Linked DNA regions of Arabidopsis thaliana. The protein of the gene in region 1 purifies or fractionates together with the protein of each later gene. This does not show direct contact. Each region holds a gene or a part of one and is shown on either strand. Other genes may lie near its edges.

The links.
Region 2: the proteins of SKB1 (region 1) and AT2G25355 fractionate together in Arabidopsis thaliana (co-fractionation; one large-scale study listed by BioGRID). This does not show direct contact.

The regions. Positions count from the first base shown.
Region 1 is NC_003075.7:15,130,709-15,140,127, reverse strand, and holds SKB1 (SHK1 binding protein 1), read left to right. Parts: upstream 1-3,431; 5' UTR 3,432-3,559; coding exon 3,560-3,700; intron 3,701-3,812; coding exon 3,813-3,930; intron 3,931-4,021; coding exon 4,022-4,131; intron 4,132-4,215; coding exon 4,216-4,305; intron 4,306-4,439; coding exon 4,440-4,505; intron 4,506-4,718; coding exon 4,719-4,798; intron 4,799-4,890; coding exon 4,891-4,966; intron 4,967-5,052; coding exon 5,053-5,139; intron 5,140-5,255; coding exon 5,256-5,316; intron 5,317-5,467; coding exon 5,468-5,559; intron 5,560-5,670; coding exon 5,671-5,706; intron 5,707-5,827; coding exon 5,828-5,896; intron 5,897-6,093; coding exon 6,094-6,162; intron 6,163-6,270; coding exon 6,271-6,324; intron 6,325-6,403; coding exon 6,404-6,478; intron 6,479-6,589; coding exon 6,590-6,682; intron 6,683-6,767; coding exon 6,768-6,871; intron 6,872-6,968; coding exon 6,969-7,017; intron 7,018-7,094; coding exon 7,095-7,181; intron 7,182-7,297; and 10 more. Other genes in the region: AT4G31130 (keratin-associated protein (DUF1218)), read left to right, coding at 1,663-1,752, 2,350-2,564, 2,687-2,969; AT4G31115 (DUF1997 family protein, putative (DUF1997)), read right to left, coding at 8,281-8,395, 8,486-8,544, 8,766-8,851, 8,935-8,980, 9,073-9,181.
Region 2 is NC_003071.7:10,798,334-10,805,533, reverse strand, and holds AT2G25355 (PNAS-3-like protein), read right to left. Parts: upstream 4,444-7,200; 5' UTR 4,144-4,443; coding exon 4,093-4,143; intron 4,001-4,092; coding exon 3,926-4,000; intron 3,685-3,925; coding exon 3,598-3,684; intron 3,402-3,597; coding exon 3,345-3,401; intron 3,001-3,344; coding exon 2,908-3,000; intron 2,597-2,907; coding exon 2,524-2,596; intron 2,405-2,523; coding exon 2,329-2,404; intron 2,240-2,328; coding exon 2,149-2,239; intron 2,066-2,148; coding exon 1,943-2,065; 3' UTR 1,812-1,942; downstream 1-1,811. Other genes in the region: AT2G25360 (RING/U-box superfamily protein), read right to left, coding at 51-220, 305-1,029, 1,196-1,285; AT2G25350 (Phox (PX) domain-containing protein), read right to left, coding at 4,836-5,177, 5,301-5,543, 5,664-5,828, 5,946-6,706, 6,836-6,944, 7,124-7,200.

The sequences.
Region 1 (9,419 bases):
TCTGTAATGTCTTTCTTTATACAAGATTGTCCACTGGTCACTGAGTCTGCATTAATGACTCTGATCTTCCTCAACAACATTATCAGTCACCACACATAAAATCTTTTATTTCTTTGATCAAGTAATGTTTTCAATTCTTACGTGTAATATAACAAAGCCATACTTATTAAAAATTCAACAATCGAATCTTATTCTTATATAATAAATTCAATATGCCAAAACGTGATCTAGAAGACGAGAAAACACAAAAACACAAGATAAGAAGTATCGGTTGGACAAGTGTCACAAGTCCACTTGTCGTACTCGATTAAACCTAATAAGTCAAACCAAAACCATTTTATCCACTCGTAGTCGTAGGTTTAAACTTATACTACAACAATCTAAGAAGAAAGTGGAAGAGGCGAATAGCTATCACCTTTTATGAGAGACAACAAAAGCCCATTTTAAAATCATGCTTGGAATGATTATGAGTGAAAAAGAGAAAGTGATCGGTTGGTTTGATTTGATTGATTTATTTGTGTTGGATCATTATACATAGAGAAGCATCAATGAGATGAAATTAATTCAGATGATAAAGGGAAGTGATAAGGACAAGTAAAGCTGGAGGGGTAGAGGAGAGAGCGTGGCCAATTTTGGTCTTGTATATTTGTTGCTTGGGTGTCACGATCGTTCACCGACCGGATAATGCATCTAGCATCCTGATTCCCTGGTATCGTTCAAATAATACATTTTTATAAAAGCTAAACATGTTGCTATCTTTGTTTTTTTAAATATCCCCATAAGTGTTACCATTTTATAAAGAACAAGTGTTGCAAAGTGTTACAACAGTGAAAGCTTCCGCATACAAAACTCGACAGACTCTTTGGAACATACAACATCAGATTATCTTCAAAGATTCGATAATCCCATTTCTCAAAAGTACTAACTATCCCAGCCAGTCTTTAAGTTCTGCTTCATACGATAATGAACATTTTCAATATGTACTTTCCAAAAAGAAATTCCAATATCATATCCAATTATTCTACTTCCCATATAAAGTATCGCAAGTAATAATATTGGATTCTTGGTAAATCCATCTTAAACTTATTTTTGGTAAATTATATACCTACGTGGGAAGATAATATTTTATACCAAATAATTATACGATCAAGATATATTTTTATTTTGTAAATTATAGTAATATCTATATTCAGAATAAAAAATAATATGAGGAAGTAAATCAGTTGAAAATCTCTATTACGTAGATTTTTTTATAAAGAAAAATAAGATGATGAATACATGTGGAAGAAGATAAATATGGAATCTTTTATTTTTTGGTCAACAGAATCTTGAAGAGCCCAAAACAACAACAACACTCGGAGACTTTTTAGGGCTCATCCCCGAATTATCAGTGCAAGTGGATCGAATTAAACCAAAATCAAAACTAAGCAACCTAACTAACCATATCTTCCGATTTCTCTTATCTCTCTGAAGCCACAAATCTCCAGATTCATTCGTCGTCTCGGTGAGTGTTTTTCTTTTACAGTTCGATTTTTCCGACTCTGTTCGTTGATTCGATTTTCAAATCTGATTTATGTTTTGGGGGAAATCGAATTTGATATCTGTGTGCTCTCGGATATATTATATAGGTTAAGGTTAGACGGAGAAGAAGATACAACAAATATGGCGGTTAGTATGAAACAAATGTCGTTGGTCGTCTCTGCTTTGGGCGTCTTATCCTTTGTTTTGGGAGTTATCGCCGAGAACAAGAAGGTACAAAAAAAAGTCGTCTCCTTTTGATTATTTCGTGAGAAAACTTTAAATTTCCTGTTTGTTTTCGATGATGATTTTTGTTCTTCTTCTTTGTGTTTATCTACTACTACCACATAAACAATTCCTGTTGCTTTTTGGCGCAAGTTAGTTTTTTTTTTGCACAGGAAATAATCACTCTGGAATTGTATGTATCAAACAGTGATCTAACTATGGATGAATCAATTGTTTTGATTTCCTGTTTCTTTAGGATGCTTTGGTTGTTATTTGTGCTATTCTCTGTGAATGGAGGATGTCAAATTTGTTTTAGTCACAGGACTATGACTCTGATATTGTGATATTGTTGGATTGTATGAAAAAATGTGATCTTCTCACAGCTTCATAATTGTATCTAATGATGGGAAACCAATGTGATCTTAACTGACCCGTAGCTAAATCTTACTCTTTCTACACAATTGTTTGACCTCATCATTGTCACTGATCTCTCTAGGATACCGTATGTCAAGAGCTTTTCATAAGTGGGTAAACCACTTCGGCTTTCTTATTCTTATGTGTTACTGATTGTGTGATTTGTTTCTGTTCTTTGTGTTTTCATCTTAGCCTGCGTCTGGGACTCCAATAAGTGGAAAAGGAGTAGTTATCTGCAAATACCCATCTGATCCAACTGTTGCCTTGGGATACCTTTCTGCTGCTTTTCTCCTTGCCTGCACTGTAGCAGGATACAAATCCTTGTTCATCTCTTACAAGGGAAAGTCTGTTCCTAACTCTGTCTTGTTCAAAAGCACCAGCTTCTCTGTGTTCTTCAACATTGCCTTGTAAGCATTTCCTCTTCTTTTCAAGAACACAGTAGCTAGACCATTACAAATATTCTTGGATTCCGGTATTATAAAGCCTAAAAATAGGAGTCTTTTTGTGACCTATGGTTATTGTCGTGTAGGATAACATCTGGACTGGCCTTGTCTCTGTTGCTCTGGCCAACCATTACAGAACAACTTCACTTGACCCGTAATGTTCACCGAAACTTAGAAACCAGTTGCCCCACGGCTAAGACCGGTCTGCTTGGTGGAGGTGCCTTTGTGTCTTTGGACTCGTGCCTTTTCTGGTTGGTTGCTCTGATGCTCGCTGATAACGCCCGTGAAGACCATTTTGATGAAGTTGAAAGCAGAAGCATCGATGGGAACTCTTCCTCCAGGGATGTGAATCTCAAGATTGATGCTTGAGAGAATGATATGCTTTTATTGGTATTGGGTATAAGAAGGGTTTTTCATTTGTTTTCTACTTGTTTGATTAGGAAAATAATAATTTGTTTCTTCTGTTGTTTTTTTTTTTTTTAATGATTGGCTAGAATGTTATGAAACCCATCTCTGCACCTTGATGCATTGTGATTCATAAGCTGTATCTGTGAAAAATAATCTTTTGGTTATATCTCTTACATTTGACATAATTGATATGAGAAAGCACTTCAAATCACACACTATATCAACATTTTTCTTTCTAAGAATATGTAAATATTCACTTGAATTCGGGTGGCTACTAGTAGTCTAGTACTACTATCACAAACCATAAGACTCTTTTATGTCAAAACCAATTAACATGTTTAGAGCCAATGGTTGGAGCTTGGGATGGCATAAATGGGCTAGGTATAGCATATCATAAAGCCCATTAGAAAAGCCCGATATAAACTACAGATCAGTAAAATTAAACCCTGTCAAAAACCCTTTCGTTTTCGTCGTCCGCTCGAGAAAAGAAGATTCACTTCCATCTGCAAATTCCTTCACTCCCTGTGAGCTCAATAGAGAGAGAAGAAGAGATGCCGCTCGGAGAGAGAGGAGGATGGGAGAGGACCGAGTCCAGATACTGCGGCGTTGAGACTGATTTCTCCAACGATGTTACTCATCTTCTCAACTTCAACATTTCCACCGGCGGTTTTGACTATGTTCTCGCTCCTCTGGTTTGTTTCCTTCTTCTTCCTCGACTCTCACGTCCTTGCCTGTTGTTACTGTATCAATTGGGATTTGAAATTTTATATCTTTGACGGAGTTTACTTCTTTCTCTTCCTGCAGGTGGATCCTTCGTATAGGCCGAGCTTGGTGGAAGGAAATGGTGTAGATACTCAGGTTCTTCCAGTCTGTGGCTCTGACTTAGTCTTGTCACCTTCTCAATGGAGCAGTCATGTTGTTGGTATGATTCTATTTGCTTCTCCACCGTGTGATTTTGTACTCGTTATGAATATGATGGGTTTTGATTTGAGTGGTAAATCTTCATTCTCTAGGAAAAATTAGTTCGTGGATTGACTTGGATTCTGAAGATGAGGTCTTACGGATGGATTCAGAAACCACATTGAAGCAAGAAATAGCTTGGGCTACTCATCTCTCCTTACAGGTGCTTGTGCATCTATGGATTTAACTCACTCTCTTTGTTTTCTTGCCTGCAAAGTGATTTTGAAGAGAAATTCTTTTGTTGCAGGCATGCCTTCTTCCCACTCCTAAAGGGAAATCGTGCGCCAATTATGCCAGATGTGTGAACCAGATCTTACAAGGCCTCACTACCTTGCAGGTGGTTTACGAGTTTCTTGCTGCCGGTCTAGCTTTATTTCAGATGAGACTTTTCTTTACAAGATCACCTTCAATCAAGCTCTAACATTTTGTGGATCTTCTTTGTTTTGTTTAAATGTCATTTCTGCGCTGAAGTTATGGCTAAGGGTTCCACTGGTGAAGTCTGAAGGTGATTCAATGGATGATACCTCAGAGGGACTGGTAAGACATTGGATCAAATTTTATGCAAACTTAAGATTGTTAGTACTTTTTGTGCCTTCTCAGATTTTTAAGGGACTCTCTAATGCGGATCCCTTGGAATCACTTGATGTGGCTGCCTTTTAAACCTAGAAATACAAATAAATGTCCCTATCTGTTCACGTTTTTGTACACTTTGTGTGAGGATTACTTTAATATATACTCTCTTCTATGCAGAATGATTCCTGGGAGCTGTGGAATTCGTTTCGTCTTCTTTGTGAGCATGACAGTAAGCTGTCTGTTGCTCTTGATGTTCTGTGAGTTGAGAGAAACTCTTGATTATTGTTGTTAATGTGGACCCAAAGTTTTTTTTCCACTCTACTAACATAACACCATTTTCTTCATATAGGAGTACACTACCCTCTGAAACTTCACTAGGGCGCTGGATGGGAGAGTCTGTGAGAGCAGCCATATTAAGCACTGATGTAAGTGCCTGACTTCTTGCCGCATTATTATAAACTCCACTTTGAAGTATTGCGAATCACAAAATGCCTCTAATTTGGCGTTGCAGGCTTTCTTAACAAATGCTCGGGGTTATCCTTGCTTGTCCAAACGCCACCAAAAGTTAATAGCAGGATTTTTTGATCATGCTGCCCAGGTAACAAACATCCCACTCTTTGTGATATAGAAATAAATTAAAATCTTCTTTTGACTCACAAAAGAGATCTATTAGACTCGATCTGGTGCTCATTATCATCAATCTTGTAAATGCAGGTTGTAATTTGTGGAAAGCCTGTTCATAATCTTCAAAAGCCTCTTGATTCTAGCTCGGAGGGTAATTTTTCTGTATAATCTTTTGTCCTCTGAAAATTAGCTATTATCCTCTGGGCTTGTTTTCCGTAGCTCAATTTATCACGGGCATTGTTATAATCATAGTTGATTCCAAGTTTTGAGCTAAATATTTTATTACGGGCATTGTTTGTCAGGTACAGAGAAGAATCCTCTGCGCATATATTTGGACTATGTTGCTTATCTGTTCCAAAAGATGGAATCACTTTCTGAACAGGAACGCATCGAGGTCGTTTTTTGCATCCTTTTGCCTCAGTCCTTCTATGTTTTTTATCACTAGATGCAAGCTGGCAGATACAACTCTATTCTGACAGTTATCTAAATCTTACTCTTTGTACAGCTGGGTTACAGGGATTTTTTGCAGGCACCCCTGCAGGTTAGCCTCTTTTCATAAGCAATTCTGATTTCTGTCCGTTCATCATGATAATTTACCCTGTATGAAAATGCTCTATTCTTACTGTAAAGAGCCTCTACTGTTTTTTTTTTAATGAATACAGCCTCTTATGGACAACCTCGAAGCCCAAACCTATGAGACGTTTGAGAGAGACTCTGTTAAATACATCCAAGTATGTTGCATATTCTAGTTTTTTCCCCTCACATCTTAAATTTTAACTCCTTTGGTTTCTAGATTTCCCCTCGTCTATTTCTGCTTCGGTTTGCAGAGGAGAGTGGACTGATGGATGAATCATGTTGAACAATTTAATATCATAGCCTGGTTTTTTTTTAAAGCATGCTTAACTTTCGTCCATCTTTGTGTTGTTAGTATCAAAGAGCAGTTGAGAAAGCCTTGGTGGACAGGGTACCTGATGAAAAAGCATCCGAGTTGACTACTGTATGTCATATGTCAATGTTTTGCTTACAAAGTGGCATTTTCATTTATAAGTTTTTTTTCTGCTATTCATATGAAATACTTCAGTAGGACTGAAATTTTAGTTTTTAGGTCCTGATGGTTGTGGGGGCAGGAAGGGGACCCCTTGTGAGGGCATCGTTACAGGTAAAGTCCTGATGCACAAGGAGACATTGAAAATTCATTTGTTTCATTAATCAAATGTGTTCATTGTTTCCTTTACCAGGCAGCTGAAGAAACTGATCGGAAGTTGAAAGTTTATGCCGTGGAAAAGAATCCTAATGCCGTTGTAACACTCCATGTGAGTTGTCAGCACTGAGTCGATTAAAAAATTGCTAATTTTCCTGTGATTTCATTCGGACGTGCAGTGTGGTTTCTAATTAACTCAGAGCATTGTTATTTTTTCTGATAGAATTTGGTTAAGATGGAAGGATGGGAAGACGTTGTTACGATAATATCCTGTGACATGCGTTTTTGGAATGCTCCCGAGCAAGCTGATATATTGGTCAGTATGTACAGATTTTTGTAGCTAATACTCATGCTGACATTATATACAGTTCATCTAATTCTCGTTTGCCTCTTCTATGCAGGTTAGCGAACTGCTGGGTTCTTTTGGAGACAATGAACTTTCTCCTGAGTGTCTTGATGGAGCCCAAAGGTTTCTGAAGCCAGACGGAATTTCAATACCATCCTCGTATGTGTACTCCTTCGCTTAGTTGAAATTTCATAAGAAACTCATCTGTCCTTTTGTTTCTCTAACTGGAGGAGGAACATCGTTATTACTTTTTCAGGTATACAAGTTTCATACAGCCTATAACAGCTTCGAAGCTTTACAATGACGTAGGTTCTTCTGCTTTTTGCTATGTACTCGCAAGAGTTTTCAGATTAACTCAAGTTCTTTTTCATCCATTTGGCAGGTTAAGGCTCATAAAGATCTTGCGCACTTTGAAACTGCTTATGTTGTCAAGCTGCATAGTGTAGCAAAGCTTGCTCCTTCCCAGTCTGTGAGTCTCTCTCTGTCTCCAGCATTTTCTAATAGCTTAAAGTGTTCTCTTTAAATACATTTATGCAAGTCTTGTCGATCTGACCATCTCAGGATTTTTGGTTTGGTCTTAAATAGGTTTTCACATTTACTCATCCAAACTTCTCAACGAAAGTCAACAACCAACGCTATAAGAAGCTTCAGTTCAGTCTACCAAGCGATGCTGGCTCAGCTTTGGTGCATGGTACCTGCTTTTTTCTAGCCCTTTTTTGTTTGTTAATGTCAATTTTACATCTCCATTTCCGTAATCTGAAACTGAATCTACTGCGATCATAATAGGATTCGCTGGCTATTTTGATTCCGTCCTTTATAAAGATGTTCATCTTGGGATCGAGCCTACAACAGCAACACCAAACATGTTCAGCTGGTAATGGATTAATGTCTATAAATGTTTTAAAACAGAGCTTTCTTCTATCGAACCTCTTACTTCAACCGAGAGAAAATCGTGTTCCTTTTGGCAGGTTCCCAATCTTTTTCCCATTGAGGAAGCCTGTGGAGGTTCACCCTGATACTCCATTAGAAGTACACTTTTGGAGGTGTTGTGGTTCCTCAAAGGTAAAAAAAGTTGAAACCACAAGATTCCATACAACTAACTCTTTGTCTAAAGAACTATTATTGATCCTCTGATTTTCGGGTTCAGGTTTGGTATGAATGGTCGGTGTCTTCACCTACTCCATCTCCGATGCATAACACCAATGGCCGTTCGTACTGGGTTGGCCTTTAGGATTAGAGACTTTTGACTGATGACGAAAAAGTTATGTAATCTTATTGTGCTGTATTTTTGTCACAAGAAAGACTAAAGTTTACGAGTGAATCAAATCTCTCTTGACCTTATTTATGTTTGTACTTTTTCAGTAATTTCATTGCACTTTTAATACAAAGCTATCTCTTTCATCTCAAAAGGCCAAAGTATACAAGTGAATCAAATCTATTTTGTTCATTTAATTGTTTGTACTTTTTGCAGTAATTCAGAGCTATCTCTAATACACGCTGTAATCTCAAACGGCCAAAACGACCCAACAAATCCTGCCTCGGCCGTTTGACAAAACATTGGTAATAGATTAAGAAGTTGCGTTTAAGGAGTTCCGTTGCTGTTTTTTAATCCATTCGTCGTAATCTTTAAGTAATTGCTGAAGCAGAAGGGGAACCAGTGTATCGACCAGTGTCTGCATTACTCTGCAATCATCGTATCAAAATATAACATTACTCGGGCACTTCGAGCCAAGAAGCAGAAGAAATGTAAAACGAACAATAATGTACACTTACAGATTCCCAGGAGCCTCAACAGCTGATACTGGAAGCATTGTGAACGGTCGCGTTGAGATCTGCCATGAACAAGGGGGATTTTGATGAACATAGGAAACAAAGCTTTTTCATATACACAAAACCGAAATGAGAATCATAAGTCGACATGACCTATCCACACAATGATGGATCACAGACAACCATCACGGTACAGTGCAGTATTTGATACTCTTAAGGCTAATAGGATTGCACGAGAATGAAGTTATGAAGGAATGAAAGAAACTGAACTGCAATACACTACCTCTAGAGTGACATTCAATCTCACGTCAACTTCCAAAAATGGCTCTGGATGTTCCATGTTCCAAGTCATGCAGTTTGTCATTATTGCTGTGAACCAGAAATGGGAAAACACTTGTATTACTTTTGAAACATTAGATACCAAGTGCTTTTCTTCACAAGAGGAAAGTTACCTGAAAACCTTTCACTTTGGTTCTCCAATAACTCTGATCCTTCCAACTGCAAGACAGTGGTTCAAAACATTTGTCGGTAAAAGGAAAACAATAGAATATATATCTGCTAAATCAGAACGGGAATCTTCATCATTCAACCTTGCAGGAAAGCAGCTCAACTGTACAATCTTCCTGTGTGGGAGTGACCCTTAAAACCAGTACTGGATAAACTTCAAAACTCATTAACTGAACTTTTGGCAATGTACATCTGCACTGTAAGACAAAGATTTACTATCTCCCTTTCCAGATAGAAGGCATATTTCCAAATAATGATGCTAACATATTAGAAAACATCTGACAAGCTTGTGACTGGATATCAATTAGACGAATCTATGTTTATGATTAGAGATACACTCTTCGGATACTTATGCTTTGCAGATATAACAATCAAAGCGATGAAGATCCCAAAACAGATGCAAAGACCATGTATGCCAGACAAGTATGAG
Region 2 (7,200 bases), on another chromosome or scaffold:
ATTTGCCATTTGCTGATCAATATATTCTTCATAGCTAGGCCAACGACGACCTTCTTCATCAGAATAGTAATTACATGTATCTACTTCAAAATCATATTCCGGTTCATTATAATCATAATCATCATAATAACCATGTCCCGTTAGTAGGCAACCAGAAGAGCAAGTCTTTTGGTCATTCTTCCATTCAACCTCACATTGGTAACAAAACTGATATCCACATCTACACAATGAATGCACAAAGTTTAACATTACGAAATGAAAGTACTCGAATGATGTAGAATAATCGAGTTAAATAAATATATACCTGCAAGTCATGTGGTTGCAGGCATGAGAAAGTTCGATCATGTGCCTACACATTTTACACTGACGCCATTTTTTGTCCTTTGCTAGAGACTTTAGCTTCAACTCATCAACTAGAGGGTCATGGTGAAGTTTTTTGTACTCAGCACACGACAAATCAGAATGTGATGGTACTTTGCAATCAATGCAGAAGAGTCCACAACATTTGACACAAGAACGGTCATTGGATAGGTCGGATTCACTAGAAAGCTCGGTTTTGGACATTAGCATTGAGCAGTTTGGATATGGGCAATAGATTCTCTCTGCAGCGGGAATCGAGTCCTCTTTCATCTTTTGTTTCCACATCTCAATCAGCTCTAATGTCAAAACCTTGCTACAGCTTTCAAGGGTGAGCTTAAACTTGCATCCATCATCAAGGCATGTGGGCACAGTTCCGCTTAGGAGCTTCACTTCCACATACTGTTTCACACAAGGAAAGCAATGACGGTGAACGCATTTTTCCGTGGTAAAGAACATGCGCTCGCCCTCGGTTTCTTCAAAACAAATGCTACATATCTCTGCCTTCACATCGTCCCTTGAAACTATGGCTTCTCTTGCAAGTTTAAAAGCAAAATTAACATCGTTAAGGGCAATCAAATCAGCGTCAGTATAGGTCATCTCTTCTAGAAGAAGTTGAAATTCGTCCACAAGATGGACAACCTTCTTCTTAATCTTCCCTCGACCAACAATCTGTAATGTAAATCAGAATTCACTCTCATTAAAACCAAGACATTATATCATCATTCCAAAGAATTCAAAGTATATTCTAACATGCAAAATCACCAATCTGGCCTCTAACTATTTCCACACTTCAAGAACTAAACTAAAGCAATAACAAAGAAGAGAAAACACTTACATATTGGTAAAGCAGTTGGTCATCGCAATAAACCACGACTTGTCTGATCCCCAAATCGAAGGATTCTCTTAACCCACGAATCAGTGCCATGCTCTCTACTTCTATGCAGCTAATCTTAGTGTCGCTTAGTGATTCTTTAATCTCATACAACAAATTCTCCTTCTCATCGCAAATCGCAACTCTAATCCAGACTTCACGGTCTTTTCCTTACCTTCCACCACCAAACCCTTGGTGTACAATCTGTAGACGACATTGTCTGAAAACTTCTTCACAGCAGAGTCGGATAGGACGACTGTAGAACAACCCTCGCCTTTAGGGTTTGGGAAATCTCCGGTTATGGTAGAATCTAGTCGCCGTTTTTAGTAACTCAAGTCTTGATCGCGTCTCTCCATGTCGTTTTGGTTTCAAGTAGGAAAATCTGAAGACTTATATATAAGAGAGAAGTTGTCAAATAAATTCTTATTAATTGCTTTGCTATGAAGGCACCGTAATGTTTGTAACTGTTATTGTATTGGTATCGATTGATTTTTCAATTAATATTGCCAAACCCTAGTTCCTCTAATCCATCTCCCAAAACTTATCAATTTATCGTTAGACGAATCATGTTGTTTCTTTTAAATTTTAATCTTGGTTTGTTTTTATCTCAAAGAGAAACATATGAGTGTAGTCTACATACTAAAAAAAGAGATGCGAATTAAAACGTTTCTTTTATAAAGTAGTGATACTGTTAAGCATACAACACACTTTTCAGTCTGAAATTTTCTCCAGCAATTTCTCTACCATGATTCTCTGTTGTGTCCCGCTTAAAGTTTCAGAATTCATCAACGCATTGGCGACGATAATCACTATACGAGGAGCAGCCGCATGCACCTGAAACCAGACAGAAGATATTAACCATGCGATTTCCAGTTGCATTGTTTGGATTCTTAAGAAGCAATCACTGTTTTTCTTACCCAACATCTCCCATTTAAGCCAAACGCAGTCTCAAACGAGAGTTTCTTTCCAAGAGCTTCAAGGACCGGGCAAGTTGGTGAACTCAACAACCTAATAAGAACAAAGTGTAAGAGTGAGAAAAAGTCGAGAAGAGGCCACTTCATCTAGAAGAAAAATAAAGGAATAAGAGTGAAACTCACATTCTAGATAAACCAGTTGAAGTTTCAAACATGAAACCATCTTTTAAGGGACCAAATCCTGCAGCCTTTCCACTTTCTATTACATTGTCCAACAATTCTAGTCAGCAATTGCTTAGTCTAAACAATTAATGCGGAGAAACAAGGAAATGATTTAACTTTTTAAACTTTGTGAGAAAAAAGAATGGATGGACTAACCGTCTACACATGACAGCTCCGGGTTCATTCCTGTGTTTGTCTTCACAACCCGAGTATAAAGCAGAGTGCTTACCTGTATCAACAAATTGTCACAACTCCCAAAAACACGTGATCACTATGTTATCACTTAATACAGCGAATCCACTTGAAATAGAGTTGATGAGCTCAACTCCAGACGAAGTAAAAGTGCCTATTATGCTCATAAACAAACCAATGAAGTACTGGATCCTTTCAATATCACACACAAGCCATTGTAATTTCCAGGGAAATTCTCAATACACTGTAATGGCAATACTAACATCTCAAACAACTGAATGCAGTTACCAGCTAGAGACTATTTTGATGATGGTTCAGATTGAAGAAGTATATTCAGAAGGTACTTGCCTCAAACTTGGGATAATTTCTTCTGTTTGCTCCTTCAAATGCAAGCACAGGCAAAAGAGCCAATTGTGGTCCTTTAATGTCTATCCAATAGTTCTGCAATGAAACATGTGTCAAAACGATTTTCAAAATATTATGATCTACTTTGTTACATGCAACATGACTTTGGCTGAGAACTCTAGGGGCAACACTCTAAATAAAGGCTTATGCCGTTTTCTTTATCCATGATCTCAAGTATTTATTAACATATACATGTAACTAACAAACAAGCTGAGCAATGATAGAAGTTGGATAATGATAGAGCACAACCGAAATCAATATTCTTTATACATGATTTTTGCATTAAATGAACTGTATACAGAGAAAAAATGCTTGATTCAGAGGGTCCAAGGGAAAAGGATCTCTAACAAAAATTTAAGGATCGTCTTTAGAGTACTTACTTCTCCTTTACAATCTACCACAATGCCAAGAACATGATCCTCAGGACGAGGTACATACTGCAAAAAAAACATAATAACAGAGTCAAAATCGAGTAACATGGAGTAATTCTTCAAACTAGAGAGCAAAACCACCACTTTTTCGACAAGTTAAGCGCAGATGAACAATCGAATAACTAGTAGAGCTAGGAGATATCAGGAAAAAGGTACCAATTTATTGCAAAATACAACCAGCAAGAAACTAATTAGTTCTCACCCTTTTATGAGAACTTTCCACCCAATACTTATTTGGCTTAGAGTACCTCAACTTCCCAGCTCTCATAACAGATATCACCTCATTATCCTGAAAAAACCTCAAAATCATATGTCAATCTTCTAGCCTTGCAAGCCCAACAAAAAGCAAACTGTAGATTCCAAATTAAGTTTATTCCTCAAATGCCAATGCAAGATCCAAAATTCAACATAACTTGTTTAATAATGAGCAAAACATTCATTAATTCATTCATACACTCAACACAACAAATTTCAAACTCCAAAAAAATGATCGAAGATTTGGAACAAGTGATTTTGAGAAAGTTAAAAACCTGACGGAGACCACTGCCGAGTTTGATTGTTTGGTTAGTCATGTTTGATAAATCGAGAACAACATCACCTGGAACCTGAAACCCATCTCACAAAACTTAATCTTTCAATGTAATCCCAATCTAAAACGATAATCAAAGAAGCAGAGGTTTTAGTAGAAAATACGCACAACAGTCTGATCAATGAGGCTTGTCGGCGAGGTAGAAACTTCAGTACCCATCTTTCTTATTTCTTCGCTAACAACACCAATTGATTTATCCAATGAAGGGAGACAGAGCAAAAGCAGAACTGAGAGGTAGAGAGAAAGAAGAACCCTAAAAAACACTAAAACCCTAAAGTTTTTTGCTTTGGTGATGTTGAAGACGATCGGAAATTAAAAACTCCGAACCAAGTAATTTACTATAATGGTTATGAGTGGTTTATTTCGGTTTAGTAGATCCATATGATTTGGTCAACTAAAAAGTCTCCTTCGTCCTTCCTTTTTTTTTGGGACAAAATGACACTTCTTTCACTGATTTTCAACGACTGCTCTGTGGACCATGAGTGATGGATGGTAGTTGTTTTTGGTGAACAAGAAACAATGACACTGATGGTTTCGAATTTTACAATGGATTAGGTGATCTGATGTAGACATGTGTGTGCATATACATCAATTAATTACATAAAGAAGAATCTGACTCGCATATTCAAAATAAGGGATTTACGTCACTAACCAACTTTCTGCTCTACTTTTCTCTGTACATGGTATATCTATTCTATAAGCTCTTCACCTTCTGCGTTTTTCGTTTTCCTCTTTCACAGAGCTCTTAACCTGCATTGCGGAATTCAAATGTTTTCTCAATTTGATATTCTCCTCAGTCCTCATACATATCTGCCATTATCTTCCTCAGCTCATCCTCAGAAGCAGTCTCATCAAACCCTAACAGCAGTTGCGCCTGAAAATATGCCACTTTCAAATTTAAAACGAGGAATCCAGCTTGGCGATTTTGAGCCATGGTTATCGAATGTAAACATTTGAATACGATTTTTCTTGCTACAGATATTAAAGGAGATGCACCAATAGCTTACCTCAATCTGATCTTGCAAGGCATTTGATACTTCAGATAAGTCTTCTCTGTTGTTACTGGACTCATCCATTGACAAGTTTGTGTTGTTCACTTTAAGCCTGTCGTGGAGAATTTCACAGTCACTATACAGCCTTCTTCTTGCTTCTAGCGTGTTCTCGACTATTATCCTTTCCTGTTGGAGGAGTTTCTGAAAAAATTAAACATGTTTCAGTATGTTTTGATGTTCTTTCTGTAGGATCATATACATTTACCACAAGCGGATGATGCAAGCAATAATATAATGCTTTTTATTTACAAGCTTAAGATTTACCTCAGTGTCAGACTTCTCTGTCAGCGATCGAGTCAGTTCCTTTTCCATTTCCATATGTGAACGTCTCAGGGATTTGACCTCTCTGACAAGCACTTTTATGTCTGCCTTTGATTTTGCCTCCAGTTCAACATACCGTCTAGAAAGATCTTCCAGTTGCTGTTTTGTGGCATCCATTTCTTGTAACAGCTCATGGCTCTCAGAGATTGTTGAGTTTCCTGACGTCTTAGAATCTGAACTCCCATCCTGTATTAGTTTGCAGGTGTCAGTAAGTTACTTTGCTAGATATAAATTACTCGCTCGATGTGAACTTGCTTAATTGTGGAAAGAATGTGATTGAGATGGAACTATTTCAAATTTCAATACCTCTTTTGACTTTAACTTCAGTTCCATCTCAAAAGTTTTTTGCCTGAGTTCTTCCATATCCCACTGCATCTTGGTAACACTCTGTCTCTCGGTCATCAAAGCTTGCTCCAAATTCTCTTTGTTTCTCTGTTTAGTAGTTTCAAGTTCCACTTCCAGATCATCAACCTGAACAGGAAAACCAAGATTACATATATGACATTCGCATGAAGAGTAAAGGAAGAAGCGCAGATTTCATTACCAACAAACTTGAAAACAGATGTACTATTATTTTCAATCATGTACCTTTCTGTTCAGATATTCCTTCACCGCTGTCTCTTGATTTAGTCTCGCTATAAGATCCTCCATGTCTGTTTTTGAATTGAGAAGTCTCTCATTCATAGTTAATAGAATCCTATTTAATTTACTATGCATTTTCAGCGGGAGAACTATTCGTCCATTACCCGGTATCTCCAGGTTACCAACAGATATATCATGATTAACATCCAGCTGGCTATGTACAATGGAGCTCAAGATACTAGAGGTTGATGTCTCACCGGCTAGTAACGAAACCCCGTCAGCGCTCTCAAGAGAAAGCTTTCGATCATGCATCACTGAGTGACTAGTTTCTGATTCAGAGCGACACCGTAAGTCGTTGTTTGCTCGAAATACACCTTTAGAAGCTTTTCCATTGTACGAATTCGTCTCTGTGATATCATTGGCATATCCTAAATGGACTCTGTGCTTAGGAAAATCTTCTAGCTGCTCGATAATAGTTTGACTCATACTCAGTCCCTCGTCAATGTTGGACATGCTAAACTTTACAAGCTTCTCTGTTGGATTTGTCAGATCTTCATCCAAAGTTAGATCTCCAGTATCAGTTTCAGAAACATCATCCTGACCTAAACTTGCTGATCCGAGCTCAGATGTTTCATAAGCAGTATCGCTGCCATAGTCAGATGAGAGCAAAGAACTGCCACCAGAATTTGGGTGAACTAGAGACGACAAGCTTGTGCTATTTCCATCATCATTGGAATCGGAAGCATTCTGATCTACAACTTGGCATGCTGGAACAAAAAAAAATTCAACTTTAAATTATAGTGAAAGACTAAGCACATTTACTTAAACATAGATTAACTAACTGCCTTTAAGAATCTTTATCAAACGGTAACTGTAATACTATAATGGGCTCATACCAGACCTAGCAGTAGCTTCTAGTTCGAGGAAGGATGCAACTACAACACTTCTTGCCAATTCTATATCAGATAACAACTTCGTCATCCAATCCTCCAGAGAGCACCTTCTCTGCAACAACACCACATCTTTAAAATGAGTGTAATATAATTCTTGAGTACAGTACTTTACATATACTTCTACATGAAACCTGCGTCAAAATGTTCTTGATTGAGGAACCACAAAAGCAGGAAAGCGTGAAAGAGAGAAAATTTGAAAAGAACAACATAGCTCCACAAGAGAATGCATACCTCTTCTAACATATCTCTACTTTTGACACGCAAAAATCCTTTAGGAGGAGCTGATGGAAAACTTTTCCTAGGAAATG